Linked DNA regions of Sus scrofa. The protein of the gene in region 1 interacts with the protein of each later gene in a pairwise test. Links are inferred from orthologs where the notes say so. Each region holds a gene or a part of one and is shown in the gene's direction. Other genes may lie near its edges.

Evidence for each region.
Region 2: the proteins of AKAP9 (region 1) and C6H1orf94 interact in binary tests that used the Homo sapiens proteins (3 or more experiments, as listed by UniProt). The two-hybrid records come from large-scale screens. The link is inferred for Sus scrofa from reciprocal best matches to the Homo sapiens genes AKAP9 and C1orf94.
Region 3: the proteins of AKAP9 (region 1) and PKN1 interact in a two-hybrid assay, tested with the Homo sapiens proteins (2 studies listed by BioGRID). The link is inferred for Sus scrofa from reciprocal best matches to the Homo sapiens genes AKAP9 and PKN1.
Region 4: the proteins of AKAP9 (region 1) and TNIK interact in a two-hybrid assay, tested with the Homo sapiens proteins (2 studies listed by BioGRID and IntAct). The link is inferred for Sus scrofa from reciprocal best matches to the Homo sapiens genes AKAP9 and TNIK.
Region 5: the proteins of AKAP9 (region 1) and DISC1 interact in a two-hybrid assay, tested with the Homo sapiens proteins (2 studies listed by BioGRID and IntAct). The link is inferred for Sus scrofa from reciprocal best matches to the Homo sapiens genes AKAP9 and DISC1.
Region 6: the proteins of AKAP9 (region 1) and CDC5L interact in a two-hybrid assay, tested with the Homo sapiens proteins (2 studies listed by BioGRID and IntAct). The link is inferred for Sus scrofa from reciprocal best matches to the Homo sapiens genes AKAP9 and CDC5L.

Annotation. Positions count from the first base shown.
Region 1 is NC_010451.4:72,017,626-72,021,125, forward strand, and holds part of AKAP9 (A-kinase anchor protein 9), read left to right. Parts: intron 1-1,458; coding exon 1,459-1,650; intron 1,651-2,013; coding exon 2,014-2,193; intron 2,194-3,500. UniProt on the Homo sapiens protein: Scaffolding protein that assembles several protein kinases and phosphatases on the centrosome and Golgi apparatus. Required to maintain the integrity of the Golgi apparatus. Required for microtubule nucleation at the cis-side of the Golgi apparatus.
Region 2 is NC_010448.4:90,439,627-90,443,732, forward strand, and holds the start of C6H1orf94 (uncharacterized protein C1orf94 homolog), read left to right. Parts: upstream 1-1,306; coding exon 1,307-1,635; intron 1,636-4,106.
Region 3 is NC_010444.4:64,814,684-64,818,183, reverse strand, and holds part of PKN1 (serine/threonine-protein kinase N1), read left to right. Parts: coding exon 1-73; intron 74-1,271; coding exon 1,272-1,407; intron 1,408-3,500. UniProt on the Homo sapiens protein: PKC-related serine/threonine-protein kinase involved in various processes such as regulation of the intermediate filaments of the actin cytoskeleton, cell migration, tumor cell invasion and transcription regulation.
Region 4 is NC_010455.5:109,660,846-109,664,345, reverse strand, and holds part of TNIK (TRAF2 and NCK-interacting protein kinase), read left to right. Parts: coding exon 1-133; intron 134-1,765; coding exon 1,766-1,909; intron 1,910-3,500. UniProt on the Homo sapiens protein: Serine/threonine kinase that acts as an essential activator of the Wnt signaling pathway. Recruited to promoters of Wnt target genes and required to activate their expression. May act by phosphorylating TCF4/TCF7L2.
Region 5 is NC_010456.5:58,908,455-58,911,954, reverse strand, and holds part of DISC1 (disrupted in schizophrenia 1 protein), read left to right. Parts: intron 1-407; 5' UTR 408-475; coding exon 476-1,414; intron 1,415-3,500. UniProt on the Homo sapiens protein: Involved in the regulation of multiple aspects of embryonic and adult neurogenesis. Required for neural progenitor proliferation in the ventrical/subventrical zone during embryonic brain development and in the adult dentate gyrus of the hippocampus.
Region 6 is NC_010449.5:39,383,146-39,387,196, forward strand, and holds the start of CDC5L (cell division cycle 5-like protein), read left to right. Parts: upstream 1-1,251; 5' UTR 1,252-1,544; coding exon 1,545-1,589; intron 1,590-4,051.

The DNA of each region.
Region 1 (3,500 bases):
TGCTAATGCTAAGATATTCTGATTTCATGTTGGGGTATAATCAGAATATACCCCCTTTCAAGTTCTAAGGTAATAAATGATTTATAGGTGCTTTCTAAGCTCTTGGATCTTAGGTTGCTTTTATTTTATTTGTTACTGCTATCATTTTTTTATAGCTGTACCTGTAGCACATGGAAGTTCCAGCCTGGGGGTTGAATTGGAGCTGCAGCTGGAGGTTACACCACAGACATGGCAACACTGGATCCAAGCTGCATCTGCAACCTGTGCCACAGCTTATAGCAACGCCTGATCCTCAACCCACTGAGTGAGGCCAGGGATCAAATCACATCCTCACAGAGACATTGTTGGGTCCTTAATCTGCTGAGCCACGAGGGGAACTCCTTAGGTTGCTTTTTTTGGGGGGAGGGGTCTTTTTAGGATCACACCCACAGCATATGGGAGTTTCCAGGCTAGGGGTAGAATTGAAGCTGCAGCTGCCGGCCTATACCACAGCAACAGCAATGTGGGATCTGAGCCACATCTGCAACCTTTGCCACAGCTTCTGGCAACACCATATCCTTAACCCAGTCAGCAAGGTCAGGGACAGAACCTGTGTCCTCATGGACACTAGTCAGCTTCGTTACCACTAAGCCACTACGGGAACTCCCTTAGGTTGCTTATAATGCAGCAGTTTTGATCATTGGGTACATACACATTCGAAAATTCATTCATTAAAAATGTGTTAAGAAGCACAAAGCATCGAGCTAAATGACTATTCTTGTCCTCACTTGAACCCAATTTTTTAAATACTAGCTCTTAATGTTCACCATTAGTTTCAGTTTCTGTATAACCATCAGAGAGCAATTGCTTTACCATTAACGGTAATCTCTGCTAAGAAATGAGCCGAATTTCAATTGTCCTGCAAATAGCAGCACTATAATTTTTTTCTAAAATGGTTTTACTAACTTAATTTTTAAGTTTCTGTATTTTAGACCTGAGGCTCTCATGGTCTTAGAGTCTGACTCTGCTCCCTTCTGCTCAAGTAAGGCTCATGGCTGCCACCCCTTTCATTAGGTTAAGTATTAGTATGGACTAAATTGAGCTAGTCTCATTTGGTGGCTGAAATAACTGACTTAAATCTACAGCTTTCTTGAGCCTTTTTGATAGCAATTAATTTAACATAAAATAAGTTTTAAAATGAATGTGGACTCTTCTCCCATAACTCTTTTATGCTTTACCAGAGGATAATTTTAGGTAGGAAAAAGGTTCCTTGTATCCTTCCTCCCAAGATCTCTTTGCTTTGGGCAGGATAGTTTAAAGGTGTTCACTTTGAAAATGTCTGGAAACCACACAGTTACATCTGGGTTAAGGAGACTACTTTCCAGTATTCTTATGGCTCATGTCTTTTAAGCTTATATACTATTGAACTAACACAGCACTGTTCATTCTTTTTTGAAAAGTAATCATTTCTATGGACAGTTTTTTTTCTCTTTCCTTTTGCTAATTTTGATGTCAAAGATCACGAACTTAGAAGAACAGTTAGAACAGTTCAGAGAAGAACTGGAAAATAAGAATGAAGAAGTCCAGCAACTGCATATGCAATTAGAAATACAGAAAAAAGAATCTACTACCCGTCTACAAGAACTTGAACAAGAAAACAAATTATTTAAGGTAATTAGTTAGGAAAAACTTTGCCTCTAAATAACTCATTGTTTGGTCTCGTGTAGCTCTACTGTTAAGCATTTGCTAAATCCAGCTGCTAAATAATACTTAACAGGGAAACATTAACTGCAAATGGATTTTCATGGAATTTATCTTCAACCCAACATAAACTTTTGAATTTGTCATAAATGAAAAATTTTGGAGACCCTTGTCAAACTATTTTAAGAATTATTTACAGTAATTTTATGAAAGCTCTAATTTTTTCCTTTTGTACATGTTGGGCACGATAGCTTGGTAAGAGTTAAGTGACAGAATGTTCTAAAAATCACATTGTAATGCCTATCCTACTGAGATGGTTATTTTTGACCCTAGGATGAAATGGAAAAACTGGGATTCGCCATAAAGCAATCTGGTGCCATCTCTACTCAGGACCAACATTTACTATTTGGGAAATTTGCTCAAATAATGCAAGAAAAAGAAGTAGAAATTGACCGATTGAATGAGCAAATTACAAAACTTCAGCATCAACTTAAGATTACAACAGATAACAAGGTATAGTAATTTAAAATTATTATATGAAATTACTCAAGCTAGAATTTTTATTCTTAGTGAAATATAGTTGATTTATAATATTGTTATAGTTTCAGCTGTACAACAAAGTGATTTAGTTTTATATTTTTTTCATATTATTTTCCATTATAGATTATTATAATGAATATAGTTCCCTGTATTATATAGTAAATCCTTATTGCTTATCTATTTCGTATATAGTAATTCCTATCTCTTAATCCCACATTCCCAGTTTATTCCTCCCCATTTCTCTTTACCCTTTGGTAACCACAAGGTTGTTCTCTGTGTCTGTGAGTTTATTTCTGTTTTGTATATAGATTCATTTACATTATTTTTTAGATTCCACATATAAGTTATACCATATAGTATTTATTTTTGTATGACTTACTTCATTCAGTATGATATTCTCTAGGTTCACTCATGTTGCTGCACGTGGCAGTATTTCATTCTTTTTTATGATTGAGTCATAGTCCATTGTGTGTGTGTGTGTGTGTGTGTGTGTGTGTGTGTGTATATCACATCTTTTTTTTTTTTTTTTTTTTGTCTTCTTGCCTTTTCTAGGGCCACTTCCCACTGTATATGGAGGTTCCCAGGCTAGGGGTCCAATCAGAGTTGTAGCCGCCAGCCTATGCCAGAGCCACAGCAACACAGGATCTGAGCCGCGTCTGCAACCTACACTACAGCTCATGGCAATGCAGGATCCTTAATCCACTGAGCAAGGCCAGGGATTGAACCCGAAACCTCATGGTTCCTAGTCGGATTCGTTAACCACTGCGCCACAATGCCACAACACGAACTCCAGTATATCACATCTTCTTATACCAGTCATCTGTTGATGGGCACTTGGATTGTTTCCTTGTCTTGGCTACTTAAATAGTGAACATTGAGGTGCCTGTATCTTTTTGTTGTTGCTCGGCATGTAGGTCATCGGAGTTTTTGTCTTTCTAGACATATGTCCAGGAAAAGGATTTCTGGATCATGTAATAGCTTTGTTTTTAGTTTTTTGGGGTATTTTTCCATTTTTTCAAGTTTTTTGACATATAGTTGATTTACAATGTTGTGATAATTTCTGCTGTACAACAGAGTGATTCAGTTATAAATGTACAGATATCCATTCTCTTTCAGATTCTGTTCCCACATACATTCTCACAGAATATTGGGTAGAGTTCCCTGTTTTAGTTTTTTAAGGAATCTCATTGCTGTTTTCCGTAGTAGCTAATCTAAAATTTTAAAGGGTAAAAGAGTTATGTTTCAGTTTTTCTTTGAATATGTAAGTCCAATAAAACCTT
Region 2 (4,106 bases), on another chromosome or scaffold:
AGCCCTTCTCTCTGCACCTCCGTCCACCCCCAGGGAAGGCTTACGCAGCGCTGGAGGACCCGGCCGGTCTATTTCAGCAGCCTGGGGTGCCTGGGTTTGAACCCCAACTACCTTGTTCCTGGTGGGCTCAGTCCCTTCAGGACTTTGTGACTGGGTTTCTTCAAACGTGGAAGGATAATATGTAAAGGTACTAACTTCATGAGCTGGTTCGGAGTGAACCGGCCACGGAAAGCCGGGCGCTTGGCACACGGTGAGCACCCAAGCAAAGGACAGTTAGGGGTGAAATCAGCGATCCTGGGGCAGGGACCGGCAGGCTCTCAGGAGGGTGCGGAGGTGCGAGGGGGACGAGGCGGAGGGCGCGGTGCCCTCGACTTTTCACGGGGGAAGCGCTCTGGGGGCCTCCGCCCACCGGAGGGCCTGGGCCTCCCAACCTAGGACGCAGCGCGCGCGCACCGAGCCGTTGCTTTTGAAACCCTCCGCGGAATTCCAGCGCTGGACGGAAAGGGTGTGGGAGCCACCGGCAAGCGAATCGGCCCCAGCTGCCCCGCTGAGACAGCGCTCTTTTAAAGCATTGGGACCCTTCCCGTCGACCCCTAGGGCCGTGGCAGGTGTCTCCGGGGGGGTCGCCAGGGCACTCAACAGTGTTCCTGCAGGCGGAAGAGTAGCCAAGAGAGGGGGGACCCGAGGCGGCAGTGGGCGAGCAAGTGGGGGGGGAGGGGGTAGCGGCCTCTGCCGACCTAGGGACGGTTGGCCCTAGGTGGGAGCGGGGTCCCTGGGAAAGCCAGACGAGAATCCCATGGCAGGCTGCTGGACCCTGGTGCCTAGCACAGTGCCAGGCCCTCACCTGGTCATCCTCCAGGCTTAGCCAGCGATGATGCGCTGAGCCCCAGACACCAAAAGGTGTCAGGGGCTGCTGCGGACGTGTCGCAACGGGGGAGTGCCAGGGACTGTGGGGAGAGCCAGGGACTGTGGGGAGAGCCAGCCCTCCCCTTTCATCTGTTCCCAGATGTCATTCTGCCGGCTCAGGCGCCTGGTTCCTGAGCACAGGGGGATTCTACGGTTACTAAGCTACTGGTTTTTGTTGACTTTTAAATATTTTCTTCTAAGGGAGGGGGTGAGGGGGGCAAAAGTCAGGAAAGAGCAAATAAAAACAAATCAAAATAAGTTCCCCCTCCCTAAAAGAAAGCTGTCATCCAGCCACCACTCATACACACATCGAAGGCCTCTGAACAGAGTCACTTTGCTGGACCAACAGCCAGACAGAACTGACCTGCTTCTGCCCCATCCTCATCTCCCTTTCTGGTGAATGAGGGGTGGTGGTGGATGGTCGCCCTGTTTTCGAGCTCTGGGTGGACAAAGGGGCTTCCAGAAAGAGAGGAAGAGGATGGCCAGTGGGAATGGGCTGGCTTTGTCCTCGGCCCTGGTGGCCAAGCGCCCTTCCGCCCTAGGCCCATTTCCCAGATACATCTGGATCCACCAGGACACACCCCAAGACAGCTTAGACAAGACTTGCCATGAAATCTGGAAGAGAGTTCAGGGCCTGCCTGAGGCCTTGCAGCCCAGGACCTCAAAGGAGCAGCTCTCTGCCCCTGTGGCTGGCACTCCAAGAGACAACGGGCCCAGCTTCCAAGAAGAGTGAGTGTCCCCTTTCATGACCCAGGGGAGGAGGGAGGAGATGAGGGCTCACCCTCCGGGGGAATGTTCTGACCTCTTGTTGAATCTGGCTAAACCCTAAAGGTTGTGTATATTTCCTCTACCCACAATGGTCCTTTTTCCCCGTCTTTATAGGAGCATTGATTGGGGTCCTGAAGTTACCTGGGCAAAGAACCAGACCAGGGCTGTATTGCTGCTGCCTCTGACCCAGCCCACTAAGGGCAATTTCTCATTCCAAGGCATAGGCTACTCAGATGTAGGTCTGAAGACCTTGAAAAGCCACCCTAGCCAAGGCTGAGGGTTAGATGTCCACGGCTTTCCTCAGACGCACAGGGAGATCCTTCTCCCCTCCCACCCCCAAAGGCTAGGCGTTGACACAGATGAGTCTGATGGTTTTAAACCACATCTGGAATTCCCTAATACAGGGAGCAGCTGTCCCATTCAGCCTCCACAGAAGCTGCTGCAAGAGCGCACATCAAAATATTTACTGGGAAGGCATTGACATATTCAGAGGACATAATAGAAAATTAAAGTGCGGGAAGATGGCTGTAAATAGCCCGTTTCCTGGATGGGAAATCCTGTGTCTGGGAAACGCAGAGCTAAATGTTTCTCCACCAGGGCAAAGTTGGGCAGATGTTGTTGGGGATGGATATTAGAAAGGAAAGGGAGCAACAGAGAGGAAGAAGGGACCTCGTTAGGAAGAGCAAGTAAATCCACCGAGTTATTCATGCCACCACTGAGCAGTTGTTTGCTGCTTTGCATCTTCAAAGTGGGCTGCAAACATTAATTAATCCTCCCAGAGTCTCTATGAGGCAGGTATTAGTGTCCCCATTTTACAGATGGATTAGGTGTTAATAATTAAGTGCTAATTAAAGACTAAGCGATAATTAAGTGTTGCCTGTTTCAACACATGCTCCAGCTCTGCTCAGAGATGCTCTGGAGTGAGGGAGCCATTCAGGCAATTATCAGCTGCATCTGGTTTCAGGAATTTCTATGCAAAGTGTAACTGCTCCCCAGTTCTGCGCTACCTGCTGTCCTTTTTTGAGCTCCCTTACTTGCAACACAGGAAGGTGGAAAGCACTTTGGCTGTCATCGCCTCCCTTGCTCCCTGCTCAGCAGGACATGGCTGGGATGGCAATGGCCTATCTACAGCCAAAATCCTGCTATCCGGCCCTCCAGTGCCACCGAGCCCCTCTCCTCTGCCCACCACCATCTGCTCTGGGACAAGGCCTTGGCAGGGGGCCTGTGGGGCTGTGTTCAGCTCTCAGTGGCCAAGGAGCTGATTGTCCACTTTATGGACCAAGGGTCAATGGCAATTTCCAGTCGATGGCACCCTCTCTGCCAGGTCACAGGGAGTTAATGGAGCCAGACTCTAATTCCAGTCTGTGCTTGGCCAAGAAGCGAACTGGCACACCTTTGGCCAGTTGCTTAACTCCCTTTGGCCTTGATTTTCTCATCTGCAAAGTGAGGCTAATATGCCCTGCCTTGTCCACCTCAGAGTTGATAATGAGAATCAAATGTGATGGGAGACAGAAAACTGGAAGCTGCGTTATACCAACGAGGCTGTCCCTAATTGCAGTTCTTGGGGTTCTGGGTTTGGTTGGTGTTTTTGATGGCTTCTATCTGCAGTTTTCACGGGATCCTCATAGACCCTATGGTGCTTCAGGGGCCCTGCTGGAGTCCCAATCCCCACCTCAACCAGAGCTGTTCAGCTTTTAGGGGTTTTATTTACTGAAGTTCTGCGTACTGGCTGCATTTGAAAAAAGGGGTCTGCTATGAGAAAAGAGCGAGGAAACCGTTGCCTTTGATGAATAAGCAATACCATAGTCGTGCAGATATCAACCACGTCAAACACAATGAGCTATTCTTGAAATAAAGGCAGCTGCGATGGTAGAGTCAGATAGCTCTGGTTTCAGATCGCATTTCAGCCCTGTGCCAGCTGCAGGATTTGTTTAATTTATGTGAGCTTCAGTTTCCTCATCTGCCAAATGGAGATGATTACTATGCATTTCTTTGGGTTGTTGGGATGATTAAATGGATATTTAAACATTCCTGGTAATAACTAGGATTTGTAAAAATTCCTTGTAATAATGATGATGATTTCTTTAAGCCCTACAATTATTACATGAAGTGGGTACTATTTTAAACTCCCTCTCTTTTTCCTTTTTGTTATGCAAATGTTCAAACTCATAAAAGAGAATAGTATAGTGAAATGTCTATCAATCAGCTTCATTAATTATTAACTTTGTGCCATTCTTGTTTCAGTTCTTCCCTCCCCTGTTTTTAAATCATACTCTTTTTACAGATGAGGTAACAGGTTTGGAGGGGTTAATTTCCCTTTCAAGAAGTCCTACAATTAGGAAGTAGTGGAGTTTGAGAAAGCAAACCCAGGACCATCTTAGTCATCCATGATAGTGTTGGCTATCTTCCCCTAGAAACAGAGGCATCTTTTT
Region 3 (3,500 bases), on another chromosome or scaffold:
GCTGGCCATCGAGCTGAAGGTGAAGCAGGGGGCGGAAAACATGATCCAGACGTACAGCAACGGCAGCACCAAGGTGGGGGCAGCACGAGTGAACACACCCCTGTGTGCACATACGCCTGGAGCACATCACACAGTGAGGGGGTTTGGGGGGGTACCTACATGTCCCCCATGGGAGGTTTGGGCCCTCTGGGTTGGGAACAGAGGGACTGATGAATGACTGAGTGGCAGAACTGGGGTGCAGGCAGCTCATGGTGGTATGTGGGAAACAGAGTGACTGGGTGATGTCAGACAGACACACAGCAGTTAGCCCTGGAGACCCAGCAGCCTCTGTGGACAGGGCAACATGCAGCCTCTCACTGCTACTGGCATCTCTCTGACATGTGCACGTGCAGGTCAACACCTGGAGTCACACACACCATTATAACATCTAGAGACACAGCAGTAACAACACTTGGACACATGGAGGATGACTACCACAGGGCTCTCTGGACACGTAGAGACATACCATCATAATAACCCCAGGACACACAGTACAGGCCAACAGACGTCTAGACACACAGACACGCACACCATTAAATTCACACCCAGAGAGCAGAGTTGTCACACAGTCATTCCCCCCAGCTATACCAACACCAAGAACACAGTCACAGGTCTGCACCCACACCCAGAGATACACCCACAAGCACAGCCAGACCTATAGCTAGAGACCCGGGAGAGCACCCATACCTGTGTGCACACACAAAGGTGAATATTACGTGGGAGGGCACAGACCATGCCAGATTTTTTTTTTTTTAAACCTTTTATTGAGGTGTAACAAAGGGATGTGTAGTATATTTTTTTTCTTTTTTGGCCACCCCAAGGCATATGGAGTTCCCTGGTCAGGGAACTTGGACCCACCTACGTGACTCCTGTCAGGGCTACACCCACCACGGGGAACACTGAGCCACACGTATGCCTTTCTGACAGCTGACACAAATACAGTGCCTGCTGGTGCCAGGCACAGCACTGAGCCCTACATACAGATTAGCTCCTTTAATCCTCAGCCGAGTGGTGGTTGCAATCCAATTAGCAATCCCAGTCCTGTAGATGACGAAACAGGCCCAGAGAGGTTGAGTGGCTTGCCCAAAGTCACACAGATAGCAGTCTTAGGTAGCAGAGCCAGGATTCAAATGCCATGGGTTACTCAGGGCCTGCACTGGTGTGGACAGAAGAGCTGCTGGTCAGTCTCCCATCTGGCCAGCCTTCCTCTCACGGCCCATCTCTGCCTCTAGGACCGGAAGCTGCTGCTGACGGCCCAACAGATGCTGCAGGACAGTAAGACCAAGATTGACATCATCCGCATGCAGCTCCGCCGGGCACTGCAGGCCTGCCAGCTGGAGAGCCAGGCGGCCCCGGATGAGGCCCAAGGTGAGTCCGTTGCCCTGATACAGCTTAGCCTGCATCCTATCTTGTAGAGTTCTGCTCCCAGTCACATAGGGGGTTCCTTTCTGGGGCAGGGAGGTGAGTGCTCTGACTCATCATGTGACTGGAACCCATTCTTGACCCTCTCTGGGCCTCAGTTTCTCATTTTGTCCCACTCAAAGTTTCCACTTGATCAAGTGTTAGCAAACCAAAGCTCTTGGGCCAGATCTGCTACTGCCTTTTTGTAAATAAAGTTTTATTGGCACCCAGCCACACCCATTCATTTACTGTCACCTAAGGCTGCTTTGGCATTGACAGCAGAGCCAAGTAGTGGCAACAAAGACTATGTGGTCTGCAAAGCCAAAAATATTTACCCTGTGACTCTTACGGAAAAGATGGGCAGACCGCTGGACTAGGTGGTTGCCTTGTCATGTTGGCCCCTGTGGTGTCCTCAGTGTGTGTGTTTCTGTGAGTGTTTCAGTGTATGAATCTCTCGGGGTGGGAGGGGTCTCAACCTGATTGTCAGCCTGAATTTGTGACGGAGTCTTGATGTATGCATGGGCTACTGATGTGTGTCAGTATTAATGTGATATTAGCCATGGGGACCAGGGGTTGTATGGATGCTCTGTAACTATGATAATTTGCCTGTCACCATGAGAAATAGAGAAGTGTCAACTGTTGGTGAGTGATAGTGCATTTGGGCTGCTATAATATACCACAGTACCACAGATAGGGGAGGGGGCTTTTAAACAACAGACATTTATTTCTCACAGTTCTGAGGGCTGGGAAGTCCAAGATCAAGGCGCTGGCAGATCCAGTGTCTGGTGAGAGCCCTCTCCCACATTCACAGACAGATGCCTTCTTACTGTGTCTTCACTTTGGAAAGGGCCGGGGAGCTCTCTGGGGCCCTTTTTATAAGGACACTGATCCCATTTATGCAGGCAAAGTCCCCATGACCTAGTCATCTCCCAAGGGCACCAAGGTCACCACCTCCAAAGACATCACACTGGAGGTTGGGTTTCAACATATGAAGTTTGCAGGGAAACATGCAGTCCATAGCAGTTGGACCTGTAACACGGATGACAATGTATGTGTCTTTGTAGTGCGGAGGTGTGTGTGGTTGTTTGTATGAACTCTGAATGCCTACGTGAATTTCTCAGTGTCAGTGTGCGATGGTATGATCATGTCCCTGTGCCTCTGGGTGACACTGTAACCTTTGGTGGCAGCTTGCTTTTGTCCCTGCAAGTATAAAAGTCTTGGTAACTGGGCACATGTGACAGCAGTCCTGGTGAGTGCCACACACCTGTGGGTGACTGTGACTCTCTGAGTGCCAGAGTCTGAGTCTGGGTCATTATGCAGGACAATGAGACTGTCCTTGGAATCTACAGCCGTGGATAAGGGTGACTTTGACCTCATGTCCCTAGGTGACAGGTTTCCCATACCTGTGTGACAGTGTCTATCCCTGTGCCATTGGATAACTGTGGCTGTGTCCCCAGGACTTTGCCCTGAATATGGTAGCCAGCCTGTTTCCCTGTGACTGGGTCTCTGTTTCTATGAGTATTGCTGATGCTACCTTGCCTGTGTGACAATGTGGCAGCATTTCTTTACCTGTCCCTATGCCTGATCCACATGGCAGTGTGGTTGTGTTCCTGTGATTCTCCTTGGGTTGAAATTAGAACCCTGGGAGTTTTGCCACCATGTGACTGTGTCCTATGAGGGTGTTTATGTTTTGTGACTGTTTTTCTCTGCCCTTGTGACCGTGTCCCTTTGCTTGAGGTTGACAAGGCACATATCTATGTAATATCAGCCTCAATCCTGTGACAGTGTCCCTGTGTAGCAGCGTGATAGCATCTTTGTGAGAGTGTGTGTTCATCTGCCTGTGGGTATGTGTAACAGTGCCTACACTGGTGAGAAAGTGATAATGCCAGTGTCACCCTGTGAGTGACAGCATAACAATGTCTGTGTGATGTTGTCCCTGTTCCCCTAATTGCATTATATTTCATGATGTGGGTAGTTACCATTCACTTATCCAGACCCCTACTGGAGGAAATGGGGTTGTTTCTAGTCTTTTGGTCTTGAAGGCTTTGAATAACCATGAA
Region 4 (3,500 bases), on another chromosome or scaffold:
AAACTAAATGAAGCAAGAAAGATTTCAGTGGTAAACGTAAACCCAACCAACATTCGGCCTCATAGCGACACGCCAGAAATCAGAAAATACAAGAAGCGATTCAACTCAGAAATACTTTGTGCAGCTCTGTGGGGTGAGTTGGTGCTTTTTACTGTTCATTAATGAATTGACCCTCAAACGTGAAAAGCCTATGGGTCTTAACCATCAGAAGGGTGCTGACTGAATTGGGTGTTAGACTTGGGATCATCTTGACCTCAGGAAAGTTCGAAAACAATATTATATGGAGAAAGAGCTAATACCCTAATTCCCAGGATAACAGAATGGGACTCGGAATGACCTTGTCATGTAATAGTGATGGACTAAAGCCAACAACAGGACTAGCTACCATTCAGTACCTACCCCTGTGTGCCCAGCTCTAGGTGATGTGCTCCACATTCTGTCTCCCTGATGCATACAACATTCTACAAGGGGATGTGACCCCTTGTAGAAGAAAAGCAGCCCAGAATCTATCAGTGAATTGTCAAAAGCCATACCAGTAAGAGTAGCAAGATAAAACCTGAAAAGGGCGACAAATGATGAGTCTTCCATTTTAGTTCAAAACATCAACCTGCAGTTCTTATAAAAAAGATCTGCAGGTTTGAGATGACCTCAGACTCAGGATAGGTGTGATGAGAGCCTATCAAAATCCTGGTCTGTGTTACCATAAACATCAAGAGAGGACATGGCCCATCTGTACCCACATATCACACTAGGCCTAGTTCAGGGCACCACCATTTTACAAGGGCAAACGCATTTGAGATGTTAGCAGGGCCGAGCATGAAACCTAGAAGCTATTTCATGGGAAATGTGGTCAAGCCTGTGGTTGAAACACTTGATGGTTGAAAGACATGTGTCATGGTTTCTATGAACATGTGGTTGAAAGAGCAGACCTTCATGTTACTTAGAAGAAAGTTGTACAATAAGCCAGAGAAGTTGGACATTTACCTGTTTGTGAATATAGGCCATTGTATAGTCGACCTCCCAGCATGTGTACACGTCTGTGTGTGTGGTGAGAGTGCACGGGGTGCTCATTTGCCTAAGGATGAATCTTCAGGATCGTAGCTATTCAGACAAGACCACTTACCTACCTACCGGAGTTTTTGTAACAGGAATTAACTGCATGGGAGGTGGACTGGTCTAGAATCACAGTCAGTATTTGCCTGACCCTCAGGCCCTTAACACCTTCACTTGAATTGGCTCATCATGTCCCCAGCAAAGGGTGTAGGACACAAATTAAGCCTTGGTGTGAGGAGGAGGGAGGGCTTTTCCTCCTGTAGGATATGGGAGGAGGGCATCTATGCCCAAGGTGGGTAGGCTGGAAATCACTGCATGAATAGGAGTGAGGTGAACCTTGGGGAAGTCTCGGGAGGATTTAAAGAGAGAGCCAAGAAAAGGGTGGGTGTTACAGGAAAGGAATCAAGGTAAACTGTGTCAGCTTCACAGCTGTGCCTCAGGCCCCTCTTGAGAAAAATTCTATTCTAGGTAGTACAGAGCTACCTGTAATGAACGCTGCTGCCACTTCATAAAAGAGAACTAATTTCGTTACCAGAGGGATGGTGATTTAATTACTGTCTCAGAGTTTCTACTTCTCCACTCCCTACTGTAGTGCCTGCTTGCCCGTTAGTTTATATTTGCAAGGGAGTTTCTTAGGTTTTTTACGGGGACCCTAGATGTAGAAGAGTAAAGCCCATAAGAGTCAGTCTTGGGGGGCTTCTTCAATTTGCAGGTGTAAATCTCCTGGTGGGAACCGAAAATGGCCTGATGCTTTTGGACCGAAGTGGGCAAGGCAAAGTTTATAATCTGATCAACCGGAGGCGGTTTCAGCAGATGGATGTGCTAGAGGGACTGAATGTCCTCGTGACAATATCAGGTACGTCGCTGGATGGCCGAGTCCTCCGGGTCTGCGCAGGTGGGAAAGGCAATCACCTTGCTTCTGAAGGAACAGCAAGCTCTGCCCTTCCCACGCAGCGAGCTGAATTACGGCAGCAGAGCCAGAGTGACATCACCCACGTTTTGTCACTCTAGAGGTTCTCACCTTCAAAGGGAAGTCTCTCACCTCTGCCTGAAATCTGAATCAGGACATAGCACAAAGGCTGTGCACTTAAGGGCCCGAATGCTCTGCCGGGACTCAGCAAGGATCTTTTTAAGGTGTCTACATGCTGGTCACTGCCATCTACTCTCAGATGCAAGTATAAAAAAGTAGGCTTCTGGGAGTGAGGAGTTTTGTAAGCAGAAATTTCTCTGGGCTCCTTTCTAGTTCACTGACACCTTGGTAAATGCAGCTGGCCCATTGAGTGATTGAGTCTGCAAGGTGATTTGAATGTAGGAATCATTATGGCTACACTGCAGCTTTCTGGTTCCCCAAAAGAGCTTCAAAAAAGATGGAGACAGAAGTGAAGGCTTTATTAATGACAAGTTAAAAATGTGACCTGAAGGAGTCCATGTTTACTGGAAGTTTTTTTTTGGGGGGGTGTGTGAAGGCATTTAATAAATAACAACCCTCTCTTCCCTTCCCCTCCCATCCCATCCAGTATGAAACTGACTGTCCCCCATGCATTAGAACCCCATGAGGAGATGTGCAAAATCCAGGATGTGCCTCAGACTAGCGGGTCAGAATCTCAGGGCCTGTGGTCCAGGTCTCAGAAGCTTTCATAGCACCTGAGGCATTTCCACTGTGCAGCCATGCCTGAGAACCAGCCATTGTTTCACAAAGAGAAACCGAGCTAAGGTGGGGTGGGGGGTGGCGGGGGGGGCAGTTCACCCCCTCTGTGCCAACACAGATCAGAGGGCAGTTCAAGAATCTTTGGCTCCTATTTCCGTTTTCCTCTTTCCCTACCAATGGAAAGAAGAACCTGGATCGAACCCTGAATAAAGTTTAACTCTACAGCTGCATTTCTGTTTTGAGAAAATGCCTTCATTTGCAGTTCCCTCTTTCTTTGACCTTTCCACTGAATACTCAGAGGTTTCATCTCTTTTTATTCTCCCCAAATAAAGGTGAACCCAGTAAATTCTTCTTGTCCTATCATTCGAGTTCAATTCAGTGTAGTCCTTTATCCTGGTTAATGCTTTCTTGATTGCTGCACTACCAATTCAAATATATCTGCCAGTCACCTACCAAAAGTGGAAATGATAGAAGAAAATTCATGGTTAGGCCTCATTGTGTTGTTAGTGACAGATCCCATTTTTAAAAGTATAACAGTTTCCTGCACGTTGGTAGGGAAAGAAGAAAATGGAAATAGGAGCCAAAGATTCTTGAACTGCCCTCTGATCTGTGTTGGCCCAGAGAGAAGGAAGCACCCCCACCCTCCTCCCACCCACCTTAGCTGTTGGGGTCCATGCATAATCAGTGCTTTCAGTTATAAAAGAATAGTAACTGCACAGGGGTTCCCTTAATTTAAGTTATAAACGTGCTCTCTTGTCAAATCCAGTGTGCAGTGCTTTAGTGAATCTGTTTTTCTGGT
Region 5 (3,500 bases), on another chromosome or scaffold:
TGGGAGTGTGCTGGTGTTTGGCTTCAGAGTGCTTGCTTTCCATGCCGCTCCAGGGGGAAAGCTCTGTGTGCCTAAAAGAGCAACAGGCAAGATGCTGGAGGCTCAGAATGTGCTGCCGTAGTTGGGTCTCTGAGGCGCTTGCAGTCTTGTCAGTATAACTCACAGCAGTGCTGGCTGCTCTGGAAATAGAGGGGTTGGGATGCTGTGCAGTTTCTACACATCCCAGGCAGACGCTTCCCAGGGATCATCAGGGTTTGGGTAGCAGCTTGGCCCCATGGCCATTGCACCAGCATCTCTTTGGCAGATGCACCGAGGGTTGCCCCCAACCCGGGGACGTTCTCCAAATGCAGCTGCAGCTGAGCTGGGGAGATGTGTGTGCTGATGGTGCGTGTCCTCTTTCCTCCCAGGCCGCCAAGATGGCTCACCACCTGCAGCGTCTTTTCGGAGGAGGCGGCTGGCACGGAGGCCAGGCTACATGAGAAGTGCAGCTGGGCCCCGGATCAGGTTCTTCTCGCCAGCAGTGGGCAGTCTGCTCCGGGCCCAGGGAGGGGCATGCAGTGAGGAGACCCAGCACTCTGAACCCAGGACAGGACCATGTGGCCGTGACCCTGGAGGCCAGGGGCAGGGTCCCTCGACCGGGACCCTCATTCCCTGGAGCACAGCAGCCTCTGCTTGGACCTCCACGGGCCCCCGAGGCCTGGCTCTGACAACAGGGAGAGGAACCCTGGGTCTCTCAGGGATTCAGCCCAGAGGTGGCCGCGCCCTGCCCAGCAGGCTGACTAGGTCGTGTGGCTCCGGGGACAACATATGCCAGGGGGCGCCACCATCCATGGACAGTTGGGAGGCTCCGAGCCCGAGTCGGGAAGCAGCCTGTGGGAAAGGAGCCCTGGACACCTGGGCCAGAGGCTCTCTATCCCCAGAGGAGGGAAGTGGCACCAACTGCAGCCTCGGAAGTGGCCCCAAGGTCGACCCCACCCCTCCTGGCTCTCAGGATGTCTTCACCTCCAACTTCAGCTTCATTCGCCTCTCCCTGGTCTCTGCCGGGGAACGTGGAGAAGCAGAAGGCTGTCCGCCACCCAGAGAGGCTGAGGCTTCTCATCAGAGCCCCGAGGAGACAGTGGCCAAGGCTGCTGGTGTGGACGGGCCCCATGAACACCCTCAGCTTCTCTCTCCCGCCTCACCCCTCAAGGCTCCTCAGGACCTGGCAGATGCTGCCCAGATGGCGGGGGACAGCCCCAGACTGGAGTGCGAGATGCTTCCTTTGCTGGACATGGACGCTGCCTCCTTCTGCTCCCTGGATCCCTCGAGACCCGAGGGCAGCCACCCTCAGGATGCTGACCTCTGGGACCCACTGCTCCGCACTTGTGAGCCTGCGCTGCTGCACTGCCTGCAGGGCCAGCGGAGGCGGCTGGAGGTGGGTGTGTCCCGAGCCTGTGGGCTGGGATGGTCTCACTGAGGAGGGGGGGGGCCGCAGGAAACGGCGGTTCTGGGGTTGCCCCAGTCCCCACTGGAAGCCCCTGTGGTGACTGGCCATGGAAAAATGTTGCTACACTTGCATCTCTCCTCCTTCTGTTGGAACTCTAATCTGGTCTCGTTCTCATCCTCTGTCCCTTAGATGCTTGCTTCGCTCTCTGTTGGCTTCAGGCTCCTCTGCAGCTTCTGGTCTGGGTGATGCAGGGTTAGCTCAGCCTTGCTCTGTTTTAAACAGGAGAAGGGGGACAGGGAGCCGGGGAGGTGGAGTCAGTCGCTGTGTGGATATAAAGATGATGATGCCCCAAACTGGGGGCGATCTGGAGCTGCTTCTGCATGCGCAGTGCTCATGGCATCCTCAGCAGCAGGGACTACTGATTTTGTTTCTGGTCCTTAAACTTCTCAGGCCCTCAGTTTCCTTATTTAGAGATGCTGACATCACACAAGATTGTTCTGTGGCTCAAGCTGGAATGTGAGTGCTTTGGAAATTGGGACAGGCGGTATAGAAGCAAGTTCCAGCATCATGACTTGCTGTCCACTCATCTGAGGGGGTACAGCTGGGGGTAGACAGGGCTGTTCTACCCTGAGAAGTCCCCAGAGAAACCCGCGCAGAGAGGCTTTGTGGCAACCCATTGGCTCATCCTGTTCAGAGACTGTGTTTTCCATCTGGGCTGTGTGCATGTGTGCACGTGTGCATGTGGGGATATGCATGCGTAAGCAGGGAAGTCGAGTCTCATTAGGATTTGGTAGGAGTACGTGAAAATGTGAGGCTCATGTTCCTTCCCAGCAGTGGATCTCCTTTGCTCTCTACTGCATATCCGATGTTCTTGGCCCCGGCCCTTTTGCCCTGTCTCAGCCTGGCTGTGGGATTTATCAGCCAGGGAGGTGGCAGAGCCACTTCTGTGTGAGACCTCTCCTACCCCCCCCCCCACCCCCGATGACCCTCTCCTTCCATCCTGTCCCTCAGCCCTTTGGATGTGCCCCATTCAGTGCTCATCACATTAATAATCATTTGCTTGTGGGTCCAAGTTCTACACTTGACTCAGACTTTTTTTTTTTTTTTTTTGTCTTTTTAGGGCCTCACTCATGGCATATGGAGTTTCCTGGGCTAGGGATTGAATCGGAGCTACAGTTGCTGGCCTACACCACAGCAACAGCAACGTGGGATCTAAGCCGTGTCTGTGACCTACACCACAGCTCATGGAAATGCCGGATTCTTAACCCACTGAGGGAGGCCAGGGATTGAACCAGCATCCTCTTGGATACTAGTCGGGTTCATTAACTGCTGAGCCATGACGGGAACTCCTCTTAAATATTTTTGGATGCATGATGCCTGGCCTACTGCCTGGTGCTTGATTACTGTTTGTTTTCAGTGAAATAATTTAGCTTGTTAAGATGGGCCACAGGGAGTTCTGTTGTGGCTCTGTGGGTCAAAGACCTGACATAGTGTCTATGAGGATGTGAGTTTGATTCTTGGCCTCGCTCAGTGGGGTAAGGATCCAGCGTTGCCACAAGCTGTAGTGTAGGTCACAGATGTGGTTCAAATCTGGTGTGGCTGTGGTGTAGGCTGGCAGCTGCCACTCTCATTCAGTCCTTAGCCTGGGAACTTCCATATGCTGCAGGTGTGGCCATGAAAAAACAAAGAAAGAAAAAAAAGAGATGGGCCATAGATATCTAACTGACAGATTTCTGTGGTTGTCTGTCTGAGGCCTAAGGAGAGGGGCTGAGAGGCACACATACAAGGATACAGGCACTAGGTGGAGGTTTGTACCATGATGCTTTTCGGACTCTAAATGACAATTTCCAACACGTTATTTCTGAGATCCTTTAAAAAAAATCTTGGCGGGGATTTCCCGTCGTGGCGCAGTGGTTAACGAATCCGACTAGGAACCATGAGGTTGCAGGTTTGATCCCTGCCCTTGCTCAGTGGGTTAAGGATCCGGCGTTGCCGTGAGCTGTGGTGTAGGTTGCAGATGCGGCTCGGATCCCGTGTTGCTGTGGCTCTGGCATAGGCTGGTGGCTACAGCTCC
Region 6 (4,051 bases), on another chromosome or scaffold:
TTTAGGTATGTCAACTAATTTGCCCCTCAAATTTATGAGGTATGAATTGTTAACTCCACTTTTCAGATAAGAATACTGACATTCAGCAAGTTTATTACTCAAGCTGATGAGAGAGGCAAGATTTCAACCCAGCCTGATTTTGTCTAATTTTTTATCTTTTTTTTTTTTTTTTTTTTTTTTAGGGCTGCACCGTGGTATATGGAGGTTCCCAGGCTAGGGGTCTAATCACAGCTGTAGCTGCCAGCCTATGCCACAGCCACAGCCTTGCCAGATGTGAGCCATGTCTGCAACCCACACCACAGCTCATGGCAACACCGAATCCTTAACCCACTGAGCGAGGCCAGGGATGGAACCTGCGTCCTCGTGGATACTAGTCAGATTCATTTCCGCTGAGCCACGACAGGAGTTCCTTTCTCATGTTTGTGGATGGTAACGCTCTACTATTAATCCACATAAACTGAATAGCAATGAATGAAAATCTCTGACATGACATTTCTGCAGCTTTCTGGAACAACCACTGATCTCTTGGGGTTGCCCTTATTGTAATAATATATATATATTTTTTCCACCCCACAGCATATGGAAGTTCCTGGGCCAGGAATTGAATCCCAGCCCCAGCTATGATTTATGCTACTTTTGTGAGCATTTGTTATGTATCAAATATTATGGTTAGGTTTACCATCTCATTTAAATCCTTAGGACAGGGAGTTGTGGCGCAGTGGAAATGAATCTGACTAGTATCCATGACCATGTAGGTTCAAGCCCTGGCCTCCCTCAGTGGGCTAAGGATCCCGTGTTGCCCTGAGCTGTGGTACAGGTTGCAGATTCAGCTCGGATCCTGCGTTGCTGTGGCTGTGGTGTAGGCCGGCAGCTATAGCTCTGATTAGATCTCTGGCCTGGGAACTTCCAAACGCAGCGGGCGCAGTCCTAACCCTCCCCCCGCCCCCCCCCCCCAATCCTTAGGACAACCCTCTGAAGTTGTACTATTATTATCTCCATTTTACAGGTTAGGAAATTTGGTCTTAAATAAACAATGGGTTTTTCCTGTGTATTCTGTGGATAGATTTCCATGCGTTAAATGCCTAATAACATGCTAAACTGATAAATTAACAAAGCTCTTTTTAAACCGGGCGAGCTTAAACTCCACACGCGCGACGTTCCCACTCTTTGCCACTAGGTGACGTCACGGCCAATCCCAACGAAACTACAGTCCCCGCTGACACCTCGCGAGAGCCGTGGTTTCCTCCACCTATTTTGGGCCTGCGCCGGGCATAGGCCGCTTTGGCTAGAGCTGTTTGATGTTTTTCTGTCAGTCTTTCTAGAGCAGCGCTTTAACAGCAAGGCACTTATTTCCTCTCAGCCACTTGAGTTCTCGCGAGATTTGTTACCCTGTCCCCGCAACACCCCCTTGCGCCTGCGCAGATCTCTTCAAAGCAGAAGGTCGCGCTTAGAGGAAGTGGCGCCTTAGGGTCCCGTGGCCGCAGCGCCGTTACTACTTCTCTGAATCTCCACTCGGCTGCTTGCCGAGACACTCCGCCGCCAAGATGCCTCGAATTATGATCAAGGGGGGTGTGTGGAGGAATACCGAGGTAAGTCCCCTTTTCCCGCCGTCGGATGCCCTCCGCCCCTCCGGCTGCTGATGCGCACGCGCGCGGGGGTCCAGGAGGCGGGGAGGATGCCTGCGGGGTCTGCGTGGGGGGCGGTGCGGGGCCGACCCCCGGACCTTTACCCGGTGCAGGGCTCAGCGTTATCTGAGAACCTTAAGGACAGGGACCTTGATTTACCTGCTTGATTACTTGCGGGGCCCTGGTTAGGCCCTCAGTGAACATTTGTTGAATTGAGGACGCGCCCTCCGTTCTGGTGGAACCCACGGTGTGTCGGGGAGATAGGAACAGCGAGAGTCGATCTTCTGAGCCACCCCCATTTCTCAGCCCAGGCACCGTGCCTCTCTCTGATATTCAGAAATGAAGAAGTGCTGTGGCCACAACTTTGTTTTTTCCTTGACTTCCTTGAAGAGGGGAAGCAGTTTGAGTGCCTGGTTATTTGCGCCCATTTACGCCCGCATCCCCACGACTGTTACCAAGGCATAACTTGTCTGCCCTCCCTACACATCTCATGGCCTCGCTCTTCCTGTCATTCCACTTCAGCCTGGATAGAAGCCAGATAGGACAAACAGGGTTCCCGAAACGTAGTGGATAATGCCATTCGTGAACCAAAGGATGATAGAGAGGGAGTAAAATAGAAATAAGGTTTTAGTGCGGTTTGTGTTTATAGGGCACCAAATTTGTCAGTTTTCAGAGCACACCATGTCTTTTCTTGCTCTTTATCTTTACATTTTGCACCTTCTTGGAATATCCTCCTACGCTTGGCATCTTTCTGACCCTCCTTCTAAAACTATTTCAGAAACTCTTCTGGAATTTTTCGTCTTGTGAAAAGTAGTTGCACCCCCCCACTGGTCCCATGACACCTCTTTTATCCGTTTGTTTTGGTGTACTTTGTTTTTTTGCAAGCATCACATCCTCCTATGTGAATGTGGGTGAATTTATTAACTTCTCAGAGCCTCAGTTTCCTAATGGGGATGGTAATAATACCTCCCTCTCTTGAGAATTAAATGAGTCACTACATTTGGAACTTTTAGAACACAGTCTGGCATATAGTAATTGCTCAGTAAGTGCTAGTTGCTATTTCTTTCCCCCAGTAGACAACACTGCAAGAGGACAGGACCAGATCTTGGTATCTAGAACCTAGGACAGTACCCAACAAAATTTGTTTGGCTAGTGTTTGCTGAGTGGGTCTAGTAGGTTAGATTAACTGTTGTTTATACTTAGTTGAAGCTGTGATTAAGTGTAGCAGTGCTGCATCAAAGTTTCAAATAAAGTTAATGACAGCCTTGCCTCATAGCTTGCACGGAGGGAACCAGGATGTTTAAACTGGAGAAGAGATGACTTCTGGGAGAGAGACAGATGTGCAAAAATAAGTAACAGCAGGATTCCTATGCAGTGGCCAAAGTCCTGCAGTCTTTTTTAGTCTCTGGTGATAGGGCTGTGGAGTGCCTCCTACATGAAGCGTGTAACTCAAGTTCAGTGTGGAAAAATGCCTAAAAGTAAAATGCCCCAAGTGCATTCATCTATGGCTCTAATATCCCTGGTGTCTGTGCTTTAGCTTGCGAGGCTCCGATTTCCATACTGAAATGGGTGCCCTGGTAAAATATCTGTTTGGAGGCTGGAGTCAGAGTTGAGTGGTGATTTAGGGGAGAAATACTTAATTCTTAGGCTAGACCCAAGATGTAGATTCCTGGGTCAGAGTGGGGGTTGTGGGACTAGAGAGCAAAGGCTATTCATGAACTGGAGGCAGGAAGCCTGGATTGAGGGCTGGATGTGTCCTATTTGATTCTCTTTTCCTAAGTAAACAAGACCTGGTATCAGGGCATATGTTTTTTGAATGAATGCATAAGTGAATGAGCCATATCTTTTTGAAGATAATGACAGCCACACATTGGAGAATCCTCTTTAAAATCTACCAAGTAGGATTTCTCAGATTGGGCTGTACTTATTCGAAGTTATTGGTGGGATGGGAGGGGGGTTGTGTGTAAACCTCTAAGAAATTTCTTTGTTTTGTTTTTTGCTTTTTAGGGCCGCACCCAAGGCATATAGAGGTTCCCAGGCTAGGGGTCTAATCAGAGCTACAGCTGCTGGCCTACACCACAGCCACAGCAACGCCAGATCCCAGCCGCGTCTGCAACCTACACCACAGCTCATGGCAACACCGGATCCTTAACCCACTGAGCAAGGCCAGGGATCAAACCTGCACCTCATGGCTCCTAGTCGGATTCGTTTCTGCTGGGCCACGATGGGAACTCCCTTTTAAGAGATTTCTTAATTTCTTGCATTTTGCTTGTTCTGGCTTACTTTTTTTTTTTATTATTATTGTAATGAAATTTCGTTTTTTTCTTTTTAAACTTTGGATAGGAGTTCCCGTCATGGCGCAGTGGTTAACGAATCCGACTAGGAACCATGAGGTTGTGGGTTCGGTCCCTGCCCTTGCTCAGTTG